7 linked regions of the Sus scrofa genome follow. The protein of the gene in region 5 interacts with the protein of the main gene of each other region in a pairwise test. Links are inferred from orthologs where the notes say so. Each region holds a gene or a part of one and is shown on either strand. Other genes may lie near its edges.

Evidence for each region.
Region 1: the proteins of ZCCHC10 (region 5) and TFCP2 interact in binary tests that used the Homo sapiens proteins (3 or more experiments, as listed by UniProt). The two-hybrid records come from large-scale screens. The link is inferred for Sus scrofa from reciprocal best matches to the Homo sapiens genes ZCCHC10 and TFCP2.
Region 2: the proteins of ZCCHC10 (region 5) and DZIP3 interact in binary tests that used the Homo sapiens proteins (3 or more experiments, as listed by UniProt). The link is inferred for Sus scrofa from reciprocal best matches to the Homo sapiens genes ZCCHC10 and DZIP3.
Region 3: the proteins of ZCCHC10 (region 5) and SFMBT1 interact in binary tests that used the Homo sapiens proteins (3 or more experiments, as listed by UniProt). The two-hybrid records come from large-scale screens. The link is inferred for Sus scrofa from reciprocal best matches to the Homo sapiens genes ZCCHC10 and SFMBT1.
Region 4: the proteins of ZCCHC10 (region 5) and PRR13 interact in binary tests that used the Homo sapiens proteins (3 or more experiments, as listed by UniProt). The two-hybrid records come from large-scale screens. The link is inferred for Sus scrofa from reciprocal best matches to the Homo sapiens genes ZCCHC10 and PRR13.
Region 6: the proteins of ZCCHC10 (region 5) and STAC3 interact in binary tests that used the Homo sapiens proteins (3 or more experiments, as listed by UniProt). The two-hybrid records come from large-scale screens. The link is inferred for Sus scrofa from reciprocal best matches to the Homo sapiens genes ZCCHC10 and STAC3.
Region 7: the proteins of ZCCHC10 (region 5) and SDCBP2 interact in binary tests that used the Homo sapiens proteins (3 or more experiments, as listed by UniProt). The two-hybrid records come from large-scale screens. The link is inferred for Sus scrofa from reciprocal best matches to the Homo sapiens genes ZCCHC10 and SDCBP2.

The regions. Positions count from the first base shown.
Region 1 is NW_018085018.1:278,577-282,076, reverse strand, and holds part of TFCP2 (alpha-globin transcription factor CP2), read right to left. Parts: intron 1,216-3,500; coding exon 1,167-1,215; intron 816-1,166; coding exon 722-815; intron 1-721.
Region 2 is NC_010455.5:150,798,041-150,801,540, reverse strand, and holds part of DZIP3 (E3 ubiquitin-protein ligase DZIP3), read left to right. Parts: intron 1-569; coding exon 570-690; intron 691-1,169; coding exon 1,170-1,316; intron 1,317-1,400; coding exon 1,401-1,505; intron 1,506-3,059; coding exon 3,060-3,170; 3' UTR 3,171-3,500. UniProt on the Homo sapiens protein: E3 Ubiquitin ligase proteins mediate ubiquitination and subsequent proteasomal degradation of target proteins.
Region 3 is NC_010455.5:35,178,274-35,182,379, forward strand, and holds the start of SFMBT1 (scm-like with four MBT domains protein 1), read right to left. Parts: upstream 2,801-4,106; 5' UTR 2,287-2,800; intron 1,851-2,286; exon of another isoform or gene 1,625-1,850; intron 1,085-1,624; exon of another isoform or gene 892-1,084; intron 1-891. UniProt on the Homo sapiens protein: Histone-binding protein, which is part of various corepressor complexes. Mediates the recruitment of corepressor complexes to target genes, followed by chromatin compaction and repression of transcription.
Region 4 is NC_010447.5:18,659,395-18,663,613, forward strand, and holds the start of PRR13 (proline-rich protein 13), read left to right. Parts: upstream 1-1,419; 5' UTR 1,420-1,640; intron 1,641-1,696; exon of another isoform or gene 1,697-1,941; intron 1,942-2,109; 5' UTR 2,110-2,129; coding exon 2,130-2,148; intron 2,149-2,732; coding exon 2,733-3,161; intron 3,162-4,219. UniProt on the Homo sapiens protein: Negatively regulates TSP1 expression at the level of transcription. This down-regulation was shown to reduce taxane-induced apoptosis.
Region 5 is NC_010444.4:135,304,471-135,308,653, forward strand, and holds the start of ZCCHC10 (zinc finger CCHC domain-containing protein 10), read left to right. Parts: upstream 1-1,383; 5' UTR 1,384-1,602; coding exon 1,603-1,643; intron 1,644-4,183.
Region 6 is NC_010447.5:22,553,531-22,557,540, reverse strand, and holds the start of STAC3 (SH3 and cysteine-rich domain-containing protein 3), read left to right. Parts: upstream 1-1,210; 5' UTR 1,211-1,542; intron 1,543-2,431; 5' UTR 2,432-2,530; coding exon 2,531-2,596; intron 2,597-2,874; coding exon 2,875-3,142; intron 3,143-3,384; coding exon 3,385-3,482; intron 3,483-3,696; coding exon 3,697-3,769; intron 3,770-4,010. UniProt on the Homo sapiens protein: Required for normal excitation-contraction coupling in skeletal muscle and for normal muscle contraction in response to membrane depolarization. Required for normal Ca(2+) release from the sarcplasmic reticulum, which ultimately leads to muscle contraction.
Region 7 is NC_010459.5:33,980,575-33,984,074, forward strand, and holds part of SDCBP2 (syntenin-2), read left to right. Parts: intron 1-2,603; coding exon 2,604-2,762; intron 2,763-3,424; coding exon 3,425-3,500.

The sequences.
Region 1 (3,500 bases), on a different chromosome or scaffold from region 5:
GGAATAAAAATAAGAAGGTGGGTGAGAAAGGCAAAGATTCTACTTGTTAATGACTTCTAAAATGGACTCTTTTACAAGGCACCGCATTGCTAGTCTGCTCCAGTCCATTATCTTTTGCATTGTAAATAAGGCCCTCATGTCCTGGCCCCTGCATCCTCTTCCACCTCAATTCCCATTCAATTAACTCACCCGCTTAACCCTACGCTTTCATCATACTGATCATGTCTCAGGAACAACCAGTTGTTCCTTCTGCCTGAAATATCCTTCCACTGTCTGAACAGACTTCTCATTCCGCGAGATTCGCCTCATGCATCACACGTGCTCCCTAACTCCAGACCCTCTCCTTTGTGTACACTTATCTACTGCATCACAAGTATTTTTTTTACCTTTTCTCAGGATTTTATTTTGACTCGGGTTTTGATACTCAGTGATGACGGATTTTAACTATGACTTATCCATTCGTATATTCCTACATATCTGATACACACAAGGTGCTACATCAAGGTGGAATGTGCAGAGAAAGTCCAGTAAGGTCTTTCTTTTTGAGTATTTCACAGCCTAGTTGCAGCTGGTGAGAAAGTCTAAAGGGGTCAATGAAATTCACTGAATCAGAAAAAGAGAGAGTTCCACCATAAGAAACAACACAGGGATACCAGGAGGCCCTAGAATGTAAAGGACTCCTAAGCTAGGGCGGGAGGGGGTAAAGGGTAAGCAAATGCACCTGAGAAGTTTGTAAAAAGCCTTGTGAAGGTGGAAAAACGGTTTCGATGCAACCACTGCTGAGCCTCCTGAGGTGTAGTTGTTGGCAAGAGGTTCTGAAAAAGGGAAAGCATTTTTTGGGTTAACTAAATAGACACCTCTTGAAAGGTCAATGTTACATTGTTAGGTAACAACAGCCAAACACACCCACACTCAGGCTGAGTTTCCTCAGAAGTTGTTTGGCAGTCTTCTTTCTCCAACCACACAAGATGTCCATGAAATTCCATCCTCATTTTCCCCACTAGACTGAAAGCACCTTAAATACAGCACAGTATCCCGTTCAATAAATTTCTTTTAGTGAATGAATGACTAATACTACCTAACAAATCGGGCATTTCTAATGAATCACACAGTCAACAAAGTATCATTAGACAGTGCAAATAACAGACATTTAACTTGAGACTTACATCTGTGACGGGAGGGGGCGGCTCTGGCTGGTGGTTCGGTGAACCATTTCTAAAGGAACATTTAAAAGGAAAGGATGAGTCCATGACACACTACGGTTGCCTCATTCTTCCTCCTCATCATGAGTCTTCAGCTAGATGTTTAAAGGAATCTGTCTACGTTCCAATTCTCACCCTGGGATCCAATACCTCTATTTTTTTTTTTTTTTCTGCTTTTTAGGGTAGCACCCATGGCATATGGAGGTTCCCAGGCTAGGGGTCCAATCGGAGCTACAACTGCTGGCCTACATCCTACATCACAGCCACGGCAACGCAGGATCTGAGCCTCATCTGCAATCTATACCACAGCTCCGGTGCGCCACAATGGGAACTCCTAAGATTTTTTCTTTATTACTGAAGAAACTGAAAAAATTAACAAAATTCCAGTAAGTTGGGGTTGATTAGACGAATTGTGGCATAAAAATATGTAACATAAGTTCATGAGAATATAAATGAAAAACATCAGAATGTAAAAGCAATCAATAGATGACTACAGTATGAAATATATAAATATACAAATACAGGAAAAATAGTAGAATAAAATGTATACAATGAAATGCGATCATATATAGTTTTATAATAAAATAGTTCCAAAAATGAGCACTAACTTTTGATCCAAGGGCTATCAACACACCCTGATTTTTCCCTATACTTCCTTTTGCTCTATAGATTGTTGCTCTTCCCTAATGTTTACTTTTTTTATGGGCGAAGAATTTGATCCCAGTAATGAACTAAATCACACAAAAAGAAGAGACAATTTTCAAACTTCTTTTTTTGGTCATGCCCACGGCATTAGGAAGTTCTGGGGCCAGGGATCCCAACACAACAGGGATCCTAAGCCACAACAGCAAGCTGAGCCACAGGAGTGATACCACCAGATCCCTAACCTGCTGAGCCACCAGAGAACTCCAATTTTACGATTCTCTCCCTCCCTCTTTTTTTTTTTTTTTTTTCTTTTTAAGGCTGCGCCTATGGCATATGGAAGTTCTCAGGCTAGGGGTTGAATTGAAGTTTCAGCTGCCAGCCTAGACCCCAGCCACAGCAATGCAGGATCCAAGCCAAGTCTGTAACCGACAACGCAGCTTGTGGCAATGCCAGATATTTAACCCACTGAGCAAGGACAGGGATCAAACCCACATCCTCATGGACACTATGTCAGGTTCTTAACCCACTGAGCACAACAAGGACTTCCAATTCTACCCTAGTTATCTATTGCTTCTATAATTTCTACCTTTTTTTTTTTTTTTTAGGGCCGCACAGAATATGGAGGTTCCCAGGCTAAGGGGTGAATGGGAGCTGTAGCTGCTGGCCTACACTACAGCCACAGCAACACTGGATCTGAGCCATGTCTGAGACCTACACCACAGCCCACGGCAATGCATATCCTTAGCCCACGGAGTGAGGCCAGAGATCGAACCTGTGTCCTCATGGCTCCTAGTCAGATTCGTTAACCACTGAGCCACGACGGGAACTCTACCTATTTTTATTCTTAACTAAATACTTAACTAAATACTTTCAGAAGTAGGATGAACATAGAGTCTGTATAGAATACGTGTTAAATGATGGGACTATAAGACAACTTTATTTTTTTGACTACGCCCACAGACTGTAGAAATTCCTGGGCCAGGGATCGAACACATGCCATGGCTGTAACCAGAGCCACAGCAGTGACAATGCCAGATCCTTACCCACTGAGACACAAGGGAATTCTAAGACAACTTTTGTAAACTGAAGCAAGGCATATCTGTACCAGCTTTCCATTATCTCCGATGGCAAAAGGCAATAATAAGGCAAGACTAAATGCATCCCATAGATAATTTGAAAAAAAATCACCTTAGCTCTCATTCTCATCCTCTTCCTTCAATTATCGAAGATTCATAACAATTAGGAATCATTCTTAGTAAGTAACCAAACAGATTTGGTTTTCATTTTTATTATTTTTCATTTTTATTTTTTGGCTACATTGGAGATGTGTAGAAGTTCCCGGGCCAGGGATCAAACCCACGCCACAGCAGCGACCTAAGCCACTGCAGTGACAAGCTGCTGTGCCACAAGAGAACTCCCAAACAGATTTTAGTGTTTATACAACTATTTCAACTCCCAGTGACACTCTCTGGTGAAAGTATGATCAGGAAGTAAAATAACCCTAAGATAAGCTATAAGAGGGAGAAGTGAAAACCCAGAAAATCGGTCCCTGGATCCCTAAATGCTAACCATAAATGCTATCTTCTAACAGGGAGAACGAAAGCTACAAAAAACACTCTTTTTAGTCTCCGCTGAAGATAATCCAAACCTCAG
Region 2 (3,500 bases), on a different chromosome or scaffold from region 5:
ATTAAGATATTCCTAGATTTTTTATCACATAATTTGTCTTTTAATCTTTGCTTTCCTGTTCTGTTAAATCTTTGTTTTCTGTTTCTGAGTTTTATAAAATAAAACCATTAAAAATAATAGAGGGGCCAATAGTAACATAGTTAAAAAGAAATACTTTAATCCTGTGTAAGAGAAGGGGATACTTTAATCCTAAGTAAGAGAAGGGAATACTTTAATCCTTAGTAAGAGAGCATTGAGACGTATGTTATAAAGAGCTCAGTACAAAATTAATTTTCCTACAGTGAGCTTTTAGAAATAGTTAAAACATATTTTTGGAAAGAAAATAAATAGAAATATTTAGAACTTATGAACACATTAAGTATCATTATTAATGAGCACATTAAGAGTTTTCATTTTAGTTTAAGATAAATGGAGATGGACTTGTGATCACTTTTTTAGACCAGAGATCTGAAGGGTCACATCTGTATGCTATACAGCAATCCTATGATAGGATTTTATATCTCCTTTGGAAAGCACATCCTCAAAGGCAGTAGGAAAATCAGCACTGCTCTTTCCTTGTTCTCTTCCAGAAAGGAGCTTACAGATTTCTTACGGAAATTGAAGAATACTCATGGGAAGTCCTTATCTGGACTGACATTTGATGAAATTGTTTGCAAGATTTCCCAATTTATTTACCCCAAGAGATCTCAGGTAAAACAAACAAACCAACCCTATATCTTTTAGCCCTTATCTTTAGTAGTAAACTCCGTCAGTTATCTCCATGACATGATCAGGAAATCAATCTATAATCATATTCAATCATCTATTAATAATAAACAGTTCAACTTAATAAATGGCATGGGACACACCACCTGATCGTTCTAGAATAAAACTTGAAATTTACTCTAGGTTATTTTGAATGATTCTAAAAGGGTACATTTTTTCTAATTTTATGCAAAGACTTGTTTTAATTAAAAGAGAACCTGGAGTTGTTTTTACTTGGCTCTTAGTATTTGGGTTATATTGCCAACATTTACTTCACAATTTCTTAAGAACCTGAGTGACCTTTGCTCTTTTGCTAATTCTCACTATACCCTGGTTCTATGGTATTCTGTTAGCTCTTTTTGTTTTAGTACAATTCTTAAAAAAAACAAACAAACAAAAAAAAAAAACCGTATTCTTCTTTTCAGAGTCAAGGAAAATCAGTGCCAAATGGAAACAGTGTTTCACCCAGCCACCATACTCCACCCCAGGCTAATGCTGTCCAGCCCTCAAAACCAGCCCGGAAGCCCCTCAGTTCACAAGGTCCTGTCAAATTAGAAGGAGCCAATAATTTGGTGAGACTGAGACTGTTGATTCTAAATACATTTAAATTTAAGAGAGAGAAATGAGCTGAATTTATTACCCTGTATTTTCTCTAGGATGATGATAAGGAAGAAGAAGAGGAGCCTTGTGTGATTTGTCATGAGAATCTCTCTCCAGACAACCTCTCGGTTTTGCCTTGTGCACACAAATTCCACTCTCAGGTAAACTTATCTTTTTTAATATTTTACCATTAATCATCTAAGTGAAATTCATACTGCAGTCCTTGAAGTGATATTCATGTATCATCCACTGCTGTATCATGAATTCTACTGGATAAAAGCTGGGCTTTTGGGTACCACACAGAAGTGTTTGTATGTTTCCACATACTTGGCCATGGATTGCACTGTGCTTTCTCAGATCTCAGTACACCTAGCAGGAGAAAGGGACAACAATGAGATTTATTGGGACAGAGTATAGCTGTTCTTTTGAGCAGAACTGGAAGGAATGGTGAGTGACATGGCCGTTGGCAGTTTAGCAACAGTGCCACTTCACCCTGAGTTGCTATAAATAGTGTCCTTTGTCCATGCCTAATGATGGCCAATGGCCACTGTAAGACTTAACTTTAACAGTCTACCCAGGCTCCTGTATGTGCTTTTGAGGATGCAGAAGCTTGAGTTTTGATGTTAGAAAAATGTGAGGCTGGCATATCTTTTGTTAATTCTTGACATTTATATAGATTAACTCCTGGTGTTGCTGCTGTGCAAATGATACTGATATACAACTTATGAGCCAGATCTTCTGTTGCAGAGATGTAATTTGACACAGGAAAAATTAATCTTACAAAAGAAAGGTTTCTCAAGGAAGTGAACAATAGCCAGCTTATTCAAGCGTTATCTATAAAACATAATTTCAGACATGTGATACCTGGTATGGAATTATATTTTGCATTTACCCTGATAAGAAGAGATGTACACAGAATGTCTAATCCCAAAAGATCTCCAGGATAGATACTTAGCCATCTGATTTTTCCATCTGAAATTTTAAAAGTTCTAAAGACCCATTTAGAAAATAAATGTTTCACAAAACTTATTTTATTCTTTGCCATTGCTCATTGAATAGAAAGCAGGTAATTCAGGTTACTCTTTAGGGTTAGAGTTAGAGCCTCATATATACTGCCCATTCCTAATTCTCTCCCATCTGACCTGGCACTCCATTATTCATTCAAGTAAAAATGATTTGTTTTAGGAGAGTCAGTATTCAGGCAAATGACTTAATAGATAAGTTCATAACCAAAGAGTTCTACTGAAGAAATAGCAATCTGAAAAGAAATAGCAATCTTAAAAGTGCATCCATTATCTAGGGATTTTAACTTCAAAATACCATAATCACTTGATAACAAGGTATTAGCGACATTTGTATGTTTAGGTATGACTTTTTCTAGATTATAAATGAGAATAATATATAATAAACCAGAGAAAAGGTATAATAGGTTTCCTCAACCTCCTTATTAGGAAAAACTGCTAGTCTTCCTGAAAGTTGGGGATGGGGAAAGACTCTTGATAGAATAAACTGGCTGAAAGGTATTTTGCTGTTACCAACCATATTGCTCAGCAAACCACAGAGTGCCATGATTGCAGCAGTTACTGTAATAATCCACCAAGCAAAGCTCCAAGATACACCAGAAACATTTTGGCTGGCAGCCCTGATATATAGAGTCACAGCTGCCTCTGCTAGGCTACACCTGAGGGACTCACATGCATCTTTTTGCTTCTTAGTGCATTAGACCTTGGCTGATGCAACAGGGGACATGCCCAACCTGCAGACTTCATGTTTTGCTACCAGAAGAATTTCCTGGTCACCCCAGGCGGCACTTGCCCAAGATATGATACAAAGGGGTGACTATCCAAAGGAAGTTCAATTTTCAGACTCTGAAATTTAGTTTTGCTTTTTATTTGAGTGTTCAATTTTCAGACTCTGAAATTTAGTTTTGCTTTTTATTCAAGCGGATAGTGTAAATGGTGTGAAGCAGTATGCTCTTCCATATTGTGCAAAATAAGCTAGCTAATCTCATCAAAGCTGCAGCCAAAGAGGAGAGGACAGGTCTTCAGGATTATGGACCAAACTGAAAGAGTTCAAAGAAGATGGAGTTTTAAAAGTTACATTACATTTGCTTTTACCTTATTAGGTATTTTCTTTCAACATAAACATGATTATTG
Region 3 (4,106 bases), on a different chromosome or scaffold from region 5:
ATTTTAACTTTAAACAGTCACCAAATTTTAGAACTGAAAGCATGCAGAATGATGACCTATTCATCCTCCAATTGTGCAATAAGAAAAATCAAATCTATAAAGGGGAAGAAACATACTCCATACCTGAGATAAGGCAGCTAGTCAATGACAACAGTAGTTACAGAACTGTTTCCTGATCTTGGGCCACTCCCGTTTCCACCAGGCCGTTAGTTCTCTGACATTATAAACAAATCTCAACTCTGAAATCTACCTGTGGCCTAGAAAGATTCAACATACCCCTCAAAAAACCAGGCCAAAAGGCCCCAAAACGTACACAAGAAGACACTCATTTTCTGCTCTTCTCAAGACAGTAGACCAATGAACAACTACATTTTCAGGCATTTTACTTGCAAGGCAATAAAGTGTGACATCTTAAAAATGTGGTTCCAGAGGAGAAAGTACAAGCAGGGATTGATAAAATTCATCTTATTTCCCTTCAAATCTCTTTGATGTTTCTTGGCTCTCAAGACTATATTACTTCTAAGTAGGACTCAGGAAACCTCGCTCGCTGCGGTCCACCCGCATGGCTTTGAGTAACCCGCTGGGAAAAACCCCCACTAAATTAAAAAACCTGTCCCTGATAAGGGTGTGCTACACCACTCCCAACGCATAAGAAGACGGTGCAGGTGACCTGTGCTTTACGGCTCAGTTTCAGACCCCAGGGAGCAGCTGACATCTTGTGAAAAACTTAACATTGCATCCTTTCCGCGGGAATTTATCTCTGTTCTCACAAGGCGTTTCTACTTCCCACAAAGCAGGCCTGGCTTTTCAGAACACTCTGCTCGCCTCTCTACAGCTTCCTTCAAGGTCCAAAACCAGACTTTAAGGACAGAAATCGAAACGGTCACGGACCTCCGGAGCGGCAGGTCCAGCTGGGGCCGGGGGCGGGTTCCTGGCGAGCCCACGGCCAGCTCGCGCCGCGCAGGGGAGGCCCGGCGCACTCCACCACGCTGGCCGAAGCAACCGGTTGCGGCGGCCGCTAGACGCTTCACCTCTGCGCCGTGGCCGCCTTGGCCCTGTGAAGTTCGGACCGCTGCGCGGGCGGCGCGCCCCCGAGTCCTGCTGCGGGTTCGCGTCCCGGCCCCGGAGCGAGCCCGGGGGGCGGGTCCGCGGGGGCTCGGCGGGCGGGAGCGTGGGACGCGCGGGGAGGGGCGCGCGGCGGGCCCAGCGCGCCAGGGAACTTGGGCGCCCCCGGTGCGGCCGACTGGCCACTTTCCTTTCACGCCCGGGGGCTGCCGTGCGCCCTGCTGCCGGCTTGAGACGGCCGGCCGCGTCTCGCTACCGCGGCGAGGCGCCCAGGCGCGCTCCTGCCTCCCGGCCGGCCAGCGCGCGGGGCCTCGGGGGCGCGCCAGGCCGCGCGCGGGCGTCGCGCTCCCCCCGCCCCGCCCCCGCCCCCAACGTGCCGCCGCCGCCCGTTGGCGCCTCAGCCCGCGCGCCCGCCGGCCGCCGGCTCCCGGCGGATTTTCGTTGGCAAAGTTGCGCGGCCGCCTAGAAGGGGCCAGCAGGCAGTCCCCAGTCCCCGCGCCGCCGCCGCCCCTTCAGGCCGCCGCGCGGGAAGGCCCAGCCGGCAGCCCCGCTTTTTTACCTGCCGGGAGTTTTCGCGCGCTCGCTCTCTCAATAGCTCGCTTTTCCCCTCTCGCGCTCGTTTTCTTTCTTTCTTTCCTTCTTTTCGTTCGCCCGCGCGGACGCTTTTTCCGTTCGCGCCGCCTGCGCTCGCCCGCTCGCGCCCTCCTTCCTGCTGGGCTCCGCGGAGCGGGGCGGCAGGCAGCTCTCCCCGCCCCCCTCCACCCGCGCTCCGGCGGAGGCGGCGGCCGCGGCGCTCCGCACTCCGACTCATTCCAATATGGCACGGGCGCAGGGCGCATGCGCCCGCGCCCCCCCCACCATCCGCGCTCCTCCCGGCAGCCGGCGCCCCTCGCGCCGCGCGTGTGGCGCCCCCCGGCCCGGCCTCTCCAAGCCCTCCCGCGCGTCTGCCCGCCCCGCGGGACCTGTGCCGGAGGCGAGGCGACTGCAGACTTAAGTCCTGGGGGTCCAGAGCCACCCGCCGCCGCCGCCCGGCATGCTCCAGCCCACAACTTGCCCTGGACACCCCCTGGGCCGTGGCACAGGGCACGCGGTGGCGCCTCCCGCCCCCGACGGCGCTACAGCCCGGCGCGTTGGGGCCCCGACGGAGAAACGCGCCTCCCAGGACCCAGCGCCCACGCTGCCCCTGCTCGGACCCACGAGGGAAGGGCCCCCTCACCTCACCTCGGGTTGGATGGAACCCCGGGAACCAGGTGGCGTCCCGATGTCGGTTTTGGCGTTCGGGCCGGGGCGAAGCGCGATGCTGTCGTCCGCACGTGACAGCCTCTGGCAAGATGGCATTAGCGCAGGAACGCACCGAGCGGCGGCCTGAGCCCAGTTAGGCGCGTGTCGCCGCGGGAGAAGGCTGCGTCCGCCCGCCTGGCCCACGTCCGGGATCTGGCGCACCCTTGAGACCTGGGAGGGCACCTAACTGCCCCCTGACTGCGAAGTCAGACCGGAGCCCCGCGGCGCACCCGGTATTTCTAGGCTTCCGCAGGAGGCGCCCTGTAAATCCGAGTTTTCCTGCCGCTCGGGGCCCTGGCGAGGTGGCAAGAGACGGCTGTCTAAATCGGGCGGGAGAGCAGGGCCCCGGGGTCGAGACAGTAGCTCCTTAGTGACTATGAACCGGCCCCGCAACCCGAGGTGCCCACTTGCGGTTTACTTCTCCGAGCTCGTTCGCCCCTTACCCACCGAACACAGGTGCTGGTGGGACACTCGCCCGTCCCCACCTGCTCTGGAAGAGAGAAGGAAGTGCCCGAGCCTCGGAGACCTGGGAGTGCTCGGACTCCCGGTCCTGAGAGGAGGGCTCCGATGGGCGCTGATCACTGCTGCCTTTCAAGGTGGAGGAGTCATCCCCACCGCAAGGAATTCAGGGGTGCCAAATGCGGTTCAAGTCTGCGCTGGGAAATAATACCCCACTTTACAGAGTTGCTCACAGGCACGCTGCTGGCTGGATATTTTAACTGCCCCTGAAAAGACAATATGACAGCCAGGGAGGAAGAAAAATGCAAAAAGAGTAAAGTAGTATCCATAATACATGAAACTTTTCACACATTAAACCTTCCACCCACCTACACGTCTTTACATAGTAGCAACCACACATTGTCTTTTGTGTTTGCTACCATCACTAACATTTTTCTTTTGTTCACATGATGCATTTTTAATGTGTGCAGATATCTTCATCCATTCAGTCAGTCTCCTACCATTGCCTATTTTGGTTCCTTACAATTGTTTACTAACACATCCCTTAGTTCTGCCTTTGGGATAGATTCCTGGCAGTTAAATACCCAGATGAAAGGCTAAGCAAGGAAGGGCGAGGTGGGCTTGCCCCACAGTGCCAGAGGACTTACCAAAGAGCTGCTGCCCTACTCATTCTCCACCTCCCAGGAACAAGTGTAAAGAGTTTAATACACATTTCTAAGCCTTGGGTACCATCTTTTTTCTCCCCTATTTTAGCAGTGTCTGTTGGTAGTTCAAGGTTACTTCAGTATTTCTCAGTAAATGTTTATCCCTGCATTTACTATCTGTATTTCCCTTCTATAAATGATCTGTTCATGTCTATTCATCTTTTGGGGACTTGAACCTCTTCTAACTTCGAATAAGCATTTTTTTATGTTATATTGTTCCTATGTTGTCAGTGATCCAAAGTGACAGTCCATTGTTCTTTTTTTGTTTTATTCAATCTGTCATGCTAGTCTCTTGTGATTTTTTTAATTGCTCCAATGCTGATGAAGCGAGCTTTCTTCCACCCATCTGATAGTGTATTTTTCCACTGATTTTCTACAATTTTATTTATTTACTTAGTCTTTTTTGACCACTCCTGGCATTTGGAGTTCCAGGGCCAAGGATCAGATCCAAGCCCCAGTTGCAACCTAAGCCACAGCTGCAGCAACACTGGATCCTTAACCCACTGTGCCAGCCCTGGGATTGAACCTGTGTCCTAGGGCTCCCAAGATGCCACCAATCCCATTGCACTACAGCAGAAACTCTTGCACAATTTAATT
Region 4 (4,219 bases), on a different chromosome or scaffold from region 5:
GCTCATGTCAACACCAGATCCTTAACCCACTGCATGGGGCCAGGGAAACCCACATTCTCATGGGTAGTAGTCCAGTTCTTTTTTTTTTTTTTTTTTTTTTTTTTTGTCTTTTTGCCATTTCCTGGGCCGCTCCCACGGCATATGGAGGGTCCCAGGCTAGGGGTTGAATGGGAGCTGTAGCCACCAGCCTATGCCAGAGCCACAGCAACGTGGGATCCGAGCTGTATCTGAGACCTACACCACAGCTCATGGCAATGCTGGATCCTTAACCCACTGAGCAAAGCCGGGGATCGAACCCACAACCTCATGGTTTCTAGTCAGATTCGTTAACCACGGAGCCACGACGGGAACTCCAGTAGTCCAGTTCTTAACCCAGTGAACCGTGCAGGAACTCCTAACCATGTAATTTCGAATTTAAATAAATTTCTATGCTGAAATAAAAAAAGAAAACACGGTCACACCTATGATTATGCACAAACTTGTACACGAATGTTCATAGCAGCAATATTCATAATAGGCAAAACATAAAAACAATTCAAATGTCCATCAGTTAATGAATGGATAAACTAAATGTGGAATATCCAAATAGTGGCATATTATTTAGTACTTCCTTCAGAAAAAAGAATGGAGTTCCCTTGTGGCACAGGAGGTTAAGGATCCCAGGTTGTCACTGCAGCAGCTTGGGTCACTGCTATGGCAAGTGTTGACTCCTGGCTTGGGAACTTCCATATGTGGTGAATGAGGCCAAAAAAAAAAAAAAAAAAAAAGAAGAAGAGGCCATTGCAGCATTCCCGTTGAGATATGATGGTAGGCTGGAAGCAGAGAAGATTGAAGAGAAGTAGAGAAATTTCAGATTTATTCGTGAAACAAACGGACCCTTCCCGATGCTGGAGCGGGAAGAGGGGAAGGTGAAGGAGAGAGCCATCAAGGATCACCTCCGGCGTTTCTGCTTTGTGCAATTCGACAGATGGCGGAGCTATGTAGTTGATACAGGGAATCCTAGGAGAGATTAGAAATCTCTGTATTTCTCCCAAGAATGTTTCTTTACTTTCTATGGACGCTGACAGAGGCGGCAATATTGAGTTTTAGGGTGAATATCGGCAGCTCCCCGCCCTTCCTTAAGCTGTGTATATATATCTGTACAACATTTATCATGGTATATTTACTTTATAAGGTGTGGCACCCACTGGACTAAGAGCTCAGAGGTCAAGGGTTGAATTTCCTCTAGGTACTCACGAACTTGCTCTGAAGCTGGCCCCGCCCACCCATAGCCCCGCCCCCAGGCATTTCCGGCCCGCTCGCCCTCTGCACCGGCCTCACCCCAGAGCGCCCAGCTCCGCCCCCACTGCAACCATTGCCTTTTAGCCTAGTGGGGACTAGAGTGATTGACGAGCATGTTCTCCAATCCTAAAGCCCAATGTTGTTATATTACCAATTCGGAGGCAGCAGAGGCGGATGCCAAAGCCTAACGTGAGAGGGTGATCGGGAAGTGAGAGTGGAGGCTGCGGAGGACGCCTCCGCCCAGGCGGTGGTATAAAGCTGACGGGACGTCAGTATTCTGTTCCTTTCTTTCTCCATTCCTGGGTGAGACGCCCCTTCGTTGCTGGGGAGCCGGGGTCTCCACTTGCCTTTTTTAAAGGGTAAGAGGGTGTGTCTAACTATATAAGCGTTTGAGGATCTTTCCTGAGCTGCCTTACCTCCTTTCGCCTCCAGGCAGGTCCTTCTGTTAGCCTGGGGTGCGGGGTCCTGTCTCCCGTCACCCATCCTTGGGGATGGTGAAGTTGTTTCAGATCCCTCCGCAGCCTATGGTGGTTAAAGTCTTCCGGGCTCGGTCAAGGAAAGGGAGAGGAGTGATGGGGATAGCGAGATTCGCGCACTCAGCCCCTCTCCCGAGGAGTTAGAATCCGCAGCCAGAGCGAGTGGAAGGTGGAGGGAAACTAGGTATTGGGGGCGAAGGAGCGGGTGGAAGGAGACATTTCTTATGTAGCGAACCTGTTAGTTCCCTGGGAGCCTACAGTGGGGCAGGAGGCGTTGAAGTTGGGCTTGGTGTCTAAATCACCCACCCACTTCTGGGCCGTCAGCTTTTAACCTTCATTTCTTTCTCCTCAGGCTGGTGAAAACCCCTGAACATGTGGAATCCCAATGCCGGTAAGTGTTTGGGGAGAATCTCTTCTCCTGCCCCAGTCCCTTTTCGGATGGGCCACAACAGGAAGTTTGTGTCCGTTTCTCCTCCACCTCTGCCCTAACCTACAAAAAAGCAAAGTCCATAGCTGCCCAGTGTCTTCCCCCAGAGTTCACTGTCTCCAGGGAACGTTACCTTTTCTTTCTCTTGTATAGGTTTGTCTCCCCTCCCCTCCATGCTCCTCTTTCTTCAGCTTTACATTTTTTCCCCCCTAGGGCCACACCTGCGGCATATGGAGGTTCCCAGGCTAGCGGTCCAATCGGAGCTGTAGCTGCAACTGCGCCACAGCCACAGCAACGCGGGATCCGAGCCGCGTCTGCGACCTACACCACAGTTCACTGCAGTTCCTTAACCCACTGAGCGAGGCCAGGGATCGAACCCACAACCTCATGGTTCCTAGTGGGATTCGTTAACCACTGAGCCACTACAGGAACTCCTCCATTTTCCTTTAAGTATTGAGTGAAAAATGGAATCCCCTTCTTTTTGTTGTTTGTTGTCAGAAGCTCTGGGCAGTTCTAATCTTAAATTTATTCTTTGCTTTTTCCACCAGGGCAGCCAGGGCCAAATCCTTACCCGCCTAACGTTGGATACCCTGGAGGTTGCCATCCTACCCATCCACCATCTGCCAACCCTCCCTTTCCTCCAGGCCCCCTTCCCACTCCTCCAGGAGTGCCCCAGGGGAATCCAGCTTTTCCCCCTGGCGGGCCTTGTTATCCTGTGCCACAGCCAGGGCATCCAGGATGCCAGCCCTCAGGTCCCTACCCACCACCTGCCCCTTGCATGCCACCTGTGAATCCATTGGCTCCTGGCATGGTAGGACCAGGCATGGTGATGGACAAGAAGATGAAGAAGAAAATGAAGAAAGCTCATAAAAAGAAGCACAAACACCACAAGCATGGCAAGGTCAGTGCCCTCTGGAGCCTGGCTAGGAAGAGGTGCCCCCTCAGAAGGACTAGGGTGGCTGGAGGTGGGAAGAGAGGTAGGTGGCAGGGACAAGGAATGGGGATTCACAGTCTGAGGACTTGGGACAGGGCATTGTGTTACTCTGGCAGATGGTGCTTCCTTTTTGTAAAGGATTCCCACTGCGAAGAATTTAATAATCTTGAAAATAATTATTAGGCTAATTGGGCCTTCTGTCTGCCAGGGGCTATGTTGAGCCTTAGAATGGCTATCAGAATCAGGTGCTTTTCTTTTTTGCCTTTCTTTTCCCAGAGCTTTGGCCTCCCCACCCCCATGCTTGTTCTGGCAAGTGGGACACACCCACTGAGGTGGTCAAATGTCAAGACCTTTGGCCAAGCAAAGTCTTATGTAATGATAGATAATAATCTGGTCCTAGTTCCTGGAATTTCTTTCTCTCCTTCACTGTTCTCAGCTTGTTGTATTAATTACGTAGGTCTTCTTGTCCAGCAGGGAAACTGAGGACAAGAGCAGTCAGTGACTCAGGCTCCAATAAAACCCTCAATTTCGTGCTCAGTCTCAGGCTAAGTATCTTCATGCCAGAGGAGTGTAAATTAGCAAGTAGCTCTCAGGACCAAGTAGTAAAAGTAGCTCTCAGAACCAACTCTGGAAGAATTGAACCAACCTTGAGATATTTAAAAAAAATTTTTAGGGCCACACCTGAGGCATATGGAAGTTCCCAGGCTAGGGGTTGAATCAGGCACCACAGCCACAGCCATGCTAGGTGCAAGTGGTGTCTGCAGCCTACAGCGCAGCTCACAGCAACGCTGGATCCCTAACCCACTGAGTGAGGCCAGGGATTGAGCCCGAATCCTCATGGATTCTAGTTGGGTTTGTTACTGCTGAGTCACAACAGGAACTCCCTTTTTTCCCCCTTCTTCTTCTTTTTTTTTTTTTTTAATTTTTAGGGCAACCTTGATCTTAAGGAGGCCTTAATTTACATTTTTCTGCTTAGCAAATTTTTTTTTTTTTTTTTTTTTTTTTTGTCTTTTTGTCTTTTTTGTTGTTGTTGCTACTTCTTGGGCCGCTTCCGCGGCATTTGGAGGTTCCCAGGCTAGGGGTTGAATCGGAGCTGTAGCC
Region 5 (4,183 bases):
TGGAAAACTTGAAAATTTGAGAACAAACTTCATCTAGAAAAATGAATGTTTAAGAGCAATAAAGAGAATTGAGGAGAACTAGAATTATTTAGGAGAGACTTGACCTACCAGACATCAAAATAGTCTAAAAATAAACTATGGAAATCAAAGCCATACAAATACTGGCACAAGCAGATCTTTGGAAGAAAACAGAATGTCTAAATGAATTAAATTGGTACAAAATCGGAGTTCCCGTCGTGGCTCAGCGGTTAATGAATCCGACTAGGAACCATGAGGTTGCGGATTCGATCCCTGATCTCGTTCAGTGAGTTAAGGATCCGGCGTTGCTGTGAGCTGTGGTGTAGGTTGCAGATGAAGCTTGGATCCCACGTTGCTGTGGCTCTGGCATAGGCCAGCGGCTACAGCTCCGATTGGACCCTTAGCCTGGGAACCTCCATATGCCAAGGGAGCGGCCCAAGAAATAGGCAAAAAGACAAAAGAAAAAAAAATTTGTACAAAATGGATTTAGGAGACTAAACCTCCATGATCTGTCATTAAATGCTAAAATATCCTTAAATAATTAATATTTGTTACTCTTTCCAGTTGACAAATCAAATTTACCTATACCCTTATAACATCACTATGATATACATAAAAATGTAAGTAATTAACATATATTGCACTTGATGGTTTGATAAGGTCAGCATTTTTCAATGGACGGTTTTTTTGTTTTGTTTTGTTTTGTTAAAGCCGCACCTGCGGCATATATAAGTTCCCCAGCTGGGGGTTGAATGCAAACTGCAGCTGCCAGCCCACGCCACAGCCACACTGGATCTGAACCACATCTTTGATCTACACCGCAGCAGAGGCAACACAGGATCCTTAACCCACTGAACAAGGTCAGGGATTGAACCCAGCATCCTCATGGATACTAGTTGGTTTCATAACCCGCTGAGCCACTGACGGGAACTCCTCATCTGATGGTCTTACTCTTGTTTAACTCATTGTTTTTCACTTTGCTCTCCAGACAACTTCTAGTTTCTTCAACACTGCAGTTTCATTCATTTATATATAAAAATTCATTTGTGTATAAAGATGACCAGGAGTTCCCCCTGGCTAAGCAATAACTGAAACTGACTAGTATCCAAGAGGACACGGGTTCGAGCCCTAGCCTCCATCAGTGGGTTAAGGATCCTACGCTGCCATGTGAGGTGCGGTATAGGTTCCAGACGTGGCTTGGGTTCCCAGTTGCGGTGTCGTAGGCCGGCAGCTGCAGCCAGGATTTGACCTCCTAGCCTCGGAACTTCCATATTCCACAGGTGAAAAAAGAAAAGGGAAGGAACAGATCAACACCTCATTGGAGAATGTTCTTCCCTGTCTCTCCTAGCAATTACATGACCCCACCCTTCAAAAGCCTTGTTCAGAAGAGACAACCGACCTCACTCCTCTTCCTCAAACAAGGGCCCGACACAGGCCCAACCCCCTACTTGCCCCAGAAGCTGCCCCCGCGACTCGCCAGGCGGGACTAGCTCCGCCCACGCCGACAGCCTCCAGGGTTCGAAGGCCCCGCCCCCTTGGAGGAACTTCCCAAAATCCTGCGCGGCGGGCGTCAGCTGCGCTAAGATGGCGACTCCCATGCATCGGCTCATAGCCCGGAGACAAGCGTAAGTGAGGGCCGGAGTCGGGCCGCGGGGCGGGCTGGGGGCGGGGAGAAGCGCGTCAGCCAGCTGGTGAGCGGGCGCCGGGATGCTGGGCCAGTGTCAGATCCTCTTTGTGACTCGGCCGAAGGTGCCGTTTTTCTCATACGTTGCCTCCCCGCAAGGGGCTGGGGCCCGGGCGTTAAGTTTGATGTCCGGTGGACTAGCGATTTCGTGGACGACGGCTGAGTAGGACCGCTAGGCGGGACCTAGGGGTGTCTGAAGAGAGTTTAGCGTTTGGCTCCCGGTTACGGGACGCCCCGGAGTTGGTCACTAAGCGATTGATGCCCCTTTGACAAGTTAGCCGCCCACCCCACGCGTGACAGGGAGAAGCTTGCAGCCCTCATCCAACACCCCCTTTTCTCGCCGACGTAAACCTTCCGCTTCCTGTGAGGGCCTCCAGCCCATCTGGCTTTACCTGCTCCCTTCCTGTTACCTTCCCTAGAAACAGCTGACTACGACGCCGACTTTTTCCCGAACTATCTTCTCACTTTCTGCCGTTCATTCTCTTCAGCAGAATTTAATAAGCATTGCCTATCATTCTATGTCAAGTTTGGGGTATGAGGAAAAAGAAGTGTTCAAGGCAAAACCTCTGCTTTCAGAAAGCTTACATTCTGTTGGTGGAGTCGATAAACTAAACATTTTACGTAAATACAGTTGATAAGAGCTTTGAAGAGGAAATAAGAGGTGATGGAAAGAGAAAGATCCACGTTTGGTTGGTTGGCCAGGAAAGACTTTTCTGAAGAAATGTTTCTGTGGCATTGGAAGAGATCTGAAGTGTGAGAAAGGAGCCAGTCCTGAGAGGACTAAAGGAAAGAGCATCTAGACTGGAGTAGATACCTTGAGACAGGAAAGAACTTCGTTTTTAAGAACCGAAAGATGGCCAGTTGTAGCTAATGAGCTAGTGAAAGGGCGCGCAACAAGAGGTTTGCAGTGAGGAGATAATGAGGGAGTTCATGCCGGATGCCCCCCAACGTGTTTTTTTTTTTTTGGCCATGTCTGAGGCATGTGGAAGTTCGAGGACCAGGGATGGAACCTGAGCCCACAGTAGCCATCTGGGCCACTGCAGTGACAATGCTTCCTAAACCCGCTGTGCCACAAGAGAACTCCCCAGATGCCCCTTTCTTGTAGTCTTTTTTTCTTCTTCTAACCTGCACACTTAACTGTCTGCCGCTTTTTCACTCTCAGCCATTTTTGCCCTCACCATTTTCTCATTTATTGCCCACAGTCTGCTCGAATGTATGTTTATATTTCTTTTTATATTTATATTTTTTTATTTTAAGAACTCTGATCATCCACGTCTCCCTTTCTTCAGACTCTTCCTCTCATGCCCCATGAAAAGAGTCCCTTGAGCGTAAGGATAAAGACTTAGGGAATCAGAGTAAGTAGTATGCTGGCTGGAGGAAGGGCACTTTGAAGTCAAATGGTTCTGAGATTAAGAATGGAGTGACAGTACTTAATAGGTGTGTGCCTAATAATGTCACCAGGGTCTAATCTCTCACTCTCAGGTTTGTTCTTTTGTGTGTTGGTTCCATACTTGGATAGATTCACTCCTTTGGTCCTAAGAGGCTGTTGTATTTAGGGTCCTTTATGTCCTCTCAGCTTCAAGTTGATAGCATCTCACTGTCTAGGTTGGGTTCTATGCCCTTCCCTGAACCAGGTCTATGGGATTATGAAGCTATGATTGATTTGGATATCATTTTTTTTCCTAGCATAATTGAACGGATCTTTATAAGCCAAAGAAGAGCTCAGTGGTGGTGGTAGTTTGGTCAGAGGAGGTAATGATTGCTAGAGTGACAAAACCAACCAATATCCACTGTAAATATGAAGTGAAAGTAAGACTTCTAGTACTTTTAGCATACGTTTTGGAAGTATCACAGAATTAAACAAATGTTCCATTTTTGCAGTGTGTCTTTATGTAGTACATGAGCTTCACCGAAGTAAAAGACAACTCAGCTTTAGGAGGTTTTGGTCTTACTGGGAAGCAAACATGGTGTGTAATAAAACATGTCATGGTTTACAGACTGTCAGGAGTCCCCAAGTAGTCAGAGAGGGAGACCCTTTAGAGGCAAGGGCAGTCCAGTATTTTTGGGGGTGAGGGGAAGGCAGAATAGGAGCATTTACTTTGCATTTTATATTTATCAAAAAGATTTAACTTTGTAAGTTCCCTGGTGGCCTAGGAGGTTAAGGATCCAGCATTGTCACTGCTGTGCTTGGGTCATGGCTGTGGCATGTGTTCAGTCCCTTGCCCAGGAACTTCCACATGCTACAGGAGCAGTGAAAAAAAAAAGATTTAATTTTATTTATAAAGAGCATATATCACTTTCATAAGAACACTTTTAAACTACAGGTTATATACGAGAAAGTACTATTGACATTCTTTTTTTAAAAGTCTTTGGAGGAAAAGAGGAAATTTTGAACTTCCCATTCAGAACATCTTTCAGGAACCTAACTTTGAATCAGACTTAAACACAATTATATGCAGAATGAGAAGAGTAGAAGTGAAA
Region 6 (4,010 bases), on a different chromosome or scaffold from region 5:
GAAATAGCAAAAAGACAAAAAAAAAAAAAAAAAAAAAAAAAAAAGAATGCCAGATATCAGAGTTCCTGTTGTGGCTCAGCAGTAATGAACCCAGCTAATGTCCCTGAGGATGCAGGTTCCATCCCTGGACCCACTCATTGAGTCAAAGGATCCGGTGTTGCTGTAAGCTGTGGTGTAGGTCACAGACAAGGCTCGGATCCCACGTTGCTGTGACTGTGGTGTGGTATAGGCTGGCAGCTGCAGCTCCAATTTGACTCTAGCCTGGGAATTTCCATATGCCGAAGGTGCAGCCCTAAAAAGACCCCCCTCCAAAAAAAAGAATGCCAACTATCTCATTGACCCATCAGTTCATATGCCAGGACATCATCAGAAAGAGAAGGAATCAGGGAGTCAGAATGATGAAGGAAATGTGAGGCTTGGCCATCCTGTCTCCAAGAGTTTGCAGCTCCCATGAGGAAGGAGACTTACTTACAGATGATAAAAACTCCCAATGTGACAACTCTTGCCTTCTGTGCAATGTTAATGAAACCATCTCTGTGATCATTGGACCCTCACTCCCTCAGAGACCCTCAGGTGGAAGTCCCAGCCTGACTTTTTAAAATAGCTCTTAGAATTCCTTTCACCCTGAGGACAAGACTTTAGAGAAATAGGGAAAAGATCTCTGGGGGCAGCTGGAGGGAACAAAGCAATACTGCGTGTCGTCACTGCCTTACCAGATAGCAGCCACTGCTCATGGGCAGGAAGGCCATCTAGGAGATCCCTAGTGGCTCAGTGGTTTAAAGACCCGGCATTATCACTTCTATGGCTCTGGTTGCTGCTGTGACATGGGTTCAATTCCTGGTCCGGGAATTAATTTATGCATGCCGTGAGCACGGCCAAAAAAAAAAAAAAAAAAAAAAGGCAATCTAGTTTGGCTGAGCTCTGGAAATCCAAATTATCCTTTCTTGACCAGTTTCCAAGCTTTCTTACTGTTGGAGCCTAGATCGATGCTTGAGGGTATAAAAACAAGACAGGGACCACAAGAAGACAATGGCTAAGAAGTCAAAGGCTAGTTCCTAAAACAGGTTCAAGGAGGGGAGAATCGGGGAGGTATTGAGACCTTGGGGGAAAGGGGATGGATAAGGCTGTTTGTAAGTCATCTAAAATCAGCCACGCAAGTGTCCAGCATGGACACTGTCCCCTCCTGAGTTTAGCCAATGCTGAACTGCACACCGTGGATGAAAAACCAAGCAACAGCAGTGTGGGGGGATGGGAGGAGTTAGGGTCCAGCCCTGCCCAGACCTCCTCGTGTCCAATTTCTCTGTGTCAGCTGTGTCGCTCAGCTGTCCACTTTCCTCCAGCCCTGTCATTTCAGCTCTGACACCAAGGCGAGAGGCTAGGAGGTCTACAAATACCGTCTGGGTAGCTGGTGTGAGTACAGAGGGTACTGGGGGGGCTTAGCCCCCAAGGAAGAGGACCAGTCCTCCCCCAGCACCACCATCAAGACCCCAGGGGCTCCCTCTTTTCTCCACAGACTGTGGACTGACTTAGGGAATCCCAAACGTAAGTTGCCTCTTCATCCTCTTTGCGTTTCCAGGACTTCTCACCCCAGCTTCCCCAATCCGTAGTCTATTCAGCTTCTTCATTTCTCTCATTGTCTGTGAGTAGTTTGGGTTTTAGGAGTGAAATTATTAAGCTACTCCAGGACAAGAGTTAGGATTGAAGGGTAGGGTGGGGGTGGGGTCAGGGGAGTAGAGTAGTAAGGGAAGGAAAGTCTCATATTACTCTGAAAACTTAAAATAGCTGAAGCCTGAGGCAGGCTGGGAACTAGGGAACTAGGCACCGGGCCCCTGAGCTCAAGAAAGGTAGGAGAGAACAAATGTCCCCAGCCCATCCCTCTATGCGCACTTGTGGACATGCACATTAAACCTCTTGAAAGGGGATCTGGGAAGGTGTGTGTCACATTTCTAAAGCCCACAGATTCCCTTGGAGTTGCCATCATGGCTCAGTGGTTAACGAATCCGACTAGGAACCATGAGGTTGCGGGTTTGATCCCTGGCCTTGCTCAGTGGGGTAAGGAGCCGGCATTGCTGCGGCTGTGGTGTAGGCCGGCAGCTGCAGCTCTAATTAGACCGCTAGCCTGGGAACCTCCCTATGCCACGAGTGCAGCCCTAGAAAAAGACAAAAATAAATAAATAAAAACCAAAGCCCACAGATTCCCAAGAGAAACAAAGTGCTTGTAGGAAAATGCCTAAACCACACAGCCTTGTGCACTGTCTCAGGGCAGTAAACTCTGGGGTTGCCCATCAGGATAGAAGGATGGTCATTGGTTTAAGGAGTTGGTAGGGAAGTTCTTTTGTCTGTTGGGCTTTTCTCTGGGCCTTTCTGGAATCTTTCTGCTCCTTGCCCCTGTCTGTGAAAGAATCTCTGTTTAACCAAATTTCTCCCAAAGCCTCCCCTTCAAGGACCACCCTACTGCAAGGGACAGGAACAAGGGGGGAAGAATGTCATTCAGAGATTAGATTTCATAGTGAGGTCAACCTCTTGCAGGATGACAGAAAAGGAGGTGCTGGAGTCCCATAAGCCCTCCTTCCCAGGAGAGACTCGGCAAAGTGGGGTGAGTCTGGGCCTTGACCATGGGGTATGGGGAGCTGGGAAGCCACTGCAGTCTTGAAGAAAATTGCTTGAATTGATCTCACTTGTATACGATTCATGTATTGTTCAAATGCTAGCTAGCACCTACAGGCCCCAGGACCCCCTAATCCTGGGGTGTGCCCCTTGCCCCAAGCTTGAAGAATGTCTAGTTAGCTTCAGCCTGACCTACTCTAAAAAGCAAGACAGTTCCTTTAACACTGGGTTTCCTTCCTTCCCTCCTTCCTTCCTTCCCTCCCTCAGCTACAGCGGCTGAAGCAGTTATTTAGGAAGGAGTCTACAGGGACAAAGGAGATGGAGCTTCCCCCAGAGCCCCAGGCCAATGGGGAGGCAGTGGGAGCTGGGGGTGGGCCCATCTACTACATCTATGAGGAAGAGGAAGAAGAGGAGGAAGAGGAAGAAGAACCACTCCCAGAACCTCCCAAGCTTGTCAATGATAAGCCCCACAAATTCAAAGATCACTTCTTCAAGAAGCCCAAGTTCTGTGACGTCTGCGCCCGGATGATTGTGCGTGAGTCACAGAGGGAAGTGGAGAGTGTGATGCCAAAGGCAGGGGGCAGGGGAAAGGATTTAGGAGAGGAGTATTTGTACATCAGATAGGCTGTGGCAAGATTTAGCTTTAAGAAACTACTGCAGAGATGGAGAGTGTCAGGTCCTATACTGAAAAGGGACCTGAGAACTAGAGTAGCAGCAGTGTTAGGAAGGGAAAGGGCAATCAGGAACCTCACGCAAATGTTCTCCCCATCTCCCAAGTCAACAACAAATTTGGGCTTCGCTGTAAGAACTGCAAAACTAACATCCACGAACACTGTCAGTCCTACGTGGAGATGCAGAGATGCTTCGGCAAGATCGTGAGTAGGCTCTGGGGAGCAAGAAAGTAGAAGGGAGGGGACATGTTGCCCGCTACCTCCTTGCCGGTCCCTCCTCAAGGCATCCCATCCATTTCCCTGCTTTTTCTTCCTCAGCCTATCTTTTACTCCAAGAAAGGGTGGACGTTCATGGGAGAGGTGGGGTTTGGGGCTCTACCTTGTTATCTCTAATGCTTTCTCCCATCCCATCCTACAGCCCCCTGGTTTCCGTCGGGCCTATAGCTCCCCACTCTACAGCAACCAGCAGTACGCTTGTGTCAAAGATCTCTGTAAGTGCCCCATACAGGACCTGAGGGAATGGGCAAGCCTAGAGGTGGTTTCCAGATGTGGAAACAAAATTCTGAAACAGAAAGATTCTATATCCTGTGGTTCTCGCTCAACCTAGTATCTTGGCCATCTTGGATGCAGAGTCAGTATTCCTCTGTTTTATAGCTGAGGGAAATAAGGTTTAGCTGGGGCTCTACTCAGGAAGAGACAGAACCAAAACTGAAACTTTCACCCGCCTAACCT
Region 7 (3,500 bases), on a different chromosome or scaffold from region 5:
GCTCAGTGGGTTAAGGGTCCGGCGTTGCCGGGAGCTGTGATGTAGGTCGAAGATGCAGCTTGGATCTGACGCTGCTGTGGCTGTGGTGTAGGCCAGCAGCTTACAACTCTGATTCGACCCCTAGTCTGGGAACCTCCATATGTCATGGATGCGGCCCTAGAAAAGACAAAAAGACCAAAAAAAACCTCTTTCCAGAGTGGCTGTGCCATTTTATTTTCCTGCCAGCAATGCATGACTGTTTCAATTTCTTCACATCCTTGCCAGTATTTGGTGTTATCACTATTTTAAATTTTAGTCGTTGTGATAGGTGCATAGTGATGCCTTATCATAGTCTTGATTTGCATTTCGCTCATGGCTGTTGATGAGTATCTTTTCATGTGCTTAATTTACCAGCTGTATATTCTTTTTGGTAAAATGCTTCTTCATATCTTTTGCTCATTTTCTAAATGTTTTTTTAAGTCAATTTTTAAGACTTTATTCTAGAGTCCTTTGTCAGATATGTGATTTGTAAATATTTTCTCCCAGTGGGTAGCTTCTTTCGTCACATGAAGAGTTTCTTACAGAGGAAGAAGTTTTCATTTTTTCTTTTGTTGCTCATGCTTTGGTGTCCTAAGAAATTTCTCCAAACCCTAGGTCCTGAAGATGTTTCCCCCCCACCTTTTTTTTTCTTTTTTGGCCGCCCCTCAGCTTATGGAGTTCCCAGGCCAGGGATCGGCTTCCAGCCTCAGTTGCAACCTGAGCCACAGCTGTGGCAACGCTGGATTCTTAACCCACTGCATCAGACTGGGATCAAACCTGCATCCCAGAGCTCCAGAGATGCTACCAATCCTATTGTGCCACAGCGGGAACTCCAAGATGTTTCCTTTTACTTTCTTCCAAAACTGTTAAGAGTTTTATGTTTTACATTTAAATTTCTGATTGAATTTGAGTTAATTTTTGTATAAAATGTGAGATCAGTGTTCATATTTTGCCTATGAATGTTCAATTGCTCCCACACCATTTGTTGCAAAGACTATTCTTCCTCCATTGCATTGCTCTTGCTCCTCTGTGAAAAAGCTCCTATTGTGTATGACTAATTTCAGTTTCTCTCTTCTCTTCCTTGATCCGTGTGTCTGTCCCTTTCCAGCATTGCACTGTCTGGATTACCGTAGCCATGTAATAAGTCCTGAAATTTGGTAGAGTGATTTCTGTTTTATTCTTTTTGTCAAAATAGTTTCAGCTATTCTAGTTCCTTTGTCTTTTCATATGAAGTTTAGAGTATCTTTGCTTATATCTACAAAACATCTCTTAGAGATTGTTGATAGAAATTGCATTAAATCTGTATATCATTTTGGGGACAATTGACAGCTTTACTACATTCTCCCAATTCCTGAAGACAGACTGTCTCTCCACTTATTTAGATCTTCTTTGATATCTTTTATCAGTGTTTTGTCATTTCCAGCATACAACTCCTGCATATGTTTTGTTAGATTTACACCCAAGTATTTATTTATTTTTTTGAGTGAAAACAGTATTGTAGGATTGTTTTGGGGTGGAAGGGGCTTGCACACACAGCATGCAGAAATTCCCAGGCTGGGGATCGAACTGGAGCCCCGGCAGTGACAACACCAGGTCCTTAACCCACTAGGCCACCAGGGAACACCTAAGTACTATATTTTTAATTTCAGTTTCTGCATGTTAATTGTCAGTATAGAGAAGTAAAATTGATTTTTTTGGGGGGGGTCTTTTTAGAGCTGCAGTCACAGCATATGGAGGTTCCCAGGCTAGGGGTTGAATTGGAGCTACTGCTACTGGAATATGCCACAGCCATAGCACTGCCAGATCTGAGGTGTGTCTTTGACCTACACCACAGCTCACTGCAACACCAGATCCTTAACCCACTGAGTGAGGCCAGGGATTGAACCCCTGTCCTCATGGATACTAGTCAGGTTTTGTTAACAACTCAGCCACAACAGGAACTCCAAAATTTATTTTTTTCTGTGTTGGTCTTGTATCATCTGACATTGCTCAACTCACTTATGAGTTCAAGGAGTTTATTTGTAGAGTCCTTGAAATTTTCTGGTAGAATACGGGGACCATTTCATGTCTTCTTTTCCAATCTATATGCATTTTATTTCCTTTTCTTGCCTTATTGCTCTGGCTAGTTCTCCATTACTGTATTTAATAATAATGGTGAGAGTGGACATCCTACCTGGTTCCAGATCTTAGGGGGGAAACCATTCATTTTGATATTTTAGCTTAATTTTTCTCAGGGCAAAAATCAAATTGAGCCCATTTGCTTCCACTGTTCACTATTTGCTATGAAATTTTTCTTTACTTTTTCAGTGGATTTTAAAGGGTTCTTTTCCTGGTACCAATTTGTCTGGGAAAACAGGGCTCCTTTCCTCTTCTTTCCCGGCTGTTATTAGGGGTGTGGACTTTAACGCCCCCTAGTGGCTTCACGCAGCCAGGTCCCATCTCGTCCTTTGCAGAGAACCGTGTGGTCTGGGGGTGGGCTGGGGCCTGTGCTCCACTCGGTTTTCCTTTCCCCATTCATGCCCTCACCCCGGACACCCCGGAGGCATGAGGCCCCAGGGGCTGGCTGACTGCTACTCTCTCTGCAGGCAGCGGTCTCGGGTTCCTCGCCGGGCCAGCTGGTGGCGCCCGTGTCCGGGAACAGCCTGGGGGTGCTGCGTGCGGAGATCAAGCCCGGGGTGCGCGAGATCCACTTGTGCAAGGACGACCGTGGCAAGACGGGGCTGCGGCTACGAGCCATCGACAAGGTGGGTTTGGGGTTGGGTGGGAGAGGAGGGGCCTCGCGGAGGGAGGAGGGCGAGCCCGCGTGCCTGCAGCCCGAACTGCCCTGGCTCCTCCCCGCGCCTCTGGGGTTCCCGCAGCATCGCCCAGGAGCTGCAGCCGGGACAGCACGGGAAGCCCCGTCCACAGTAAGGAAGGAGCCGGGCAGGCTGGGAGCCGAGGCTCACCCAACTAACCCTGAGGCTAGGCTCTTCCTCTCGAGATCCCAAGGTGCCACATGGGCCGGCCCCGGGTTGCTTTAGGGGCCCTCCACCTGCACCTCCACGGCTCCTATCTGTCATGGCCCTTTCTCCTTGCTCCCCACGCACAGGGATCTGGCTTCTGGGTGGCTCTCTGCAGACCGCGGAAGCCAGGGGCGGCGGATGCCTTTGTGAGAGGCCTGGTAGTCCAGTGGTCGGGGGTGCGGGTCCAGTCGGGGTTGAATTCCTGACTCGGCTGCTTCTGAGCTGAGCTGTGTGGCCTGGAGTGTTTCTTTGCCAGGAAAAATGGGGTAGCCTGTATCTGCTGTGTAGCACTGCAGTCCCAGTGCCCTGTGGGCTCAGGAGGATCAGGAGGCAAACAGCAGCTTGGAGAAAGGTCCCCGGCTCAGGGTCGCAGGGGATCTGACTGTGGGGCCTGCTTCCCCCAGGGGGTCTTTGTGCAGCTGGTCCAGGCCAACACCCCCGCGTCGCTGGTGGGGTTGCGCTTTGGAGACCAGATCCTGC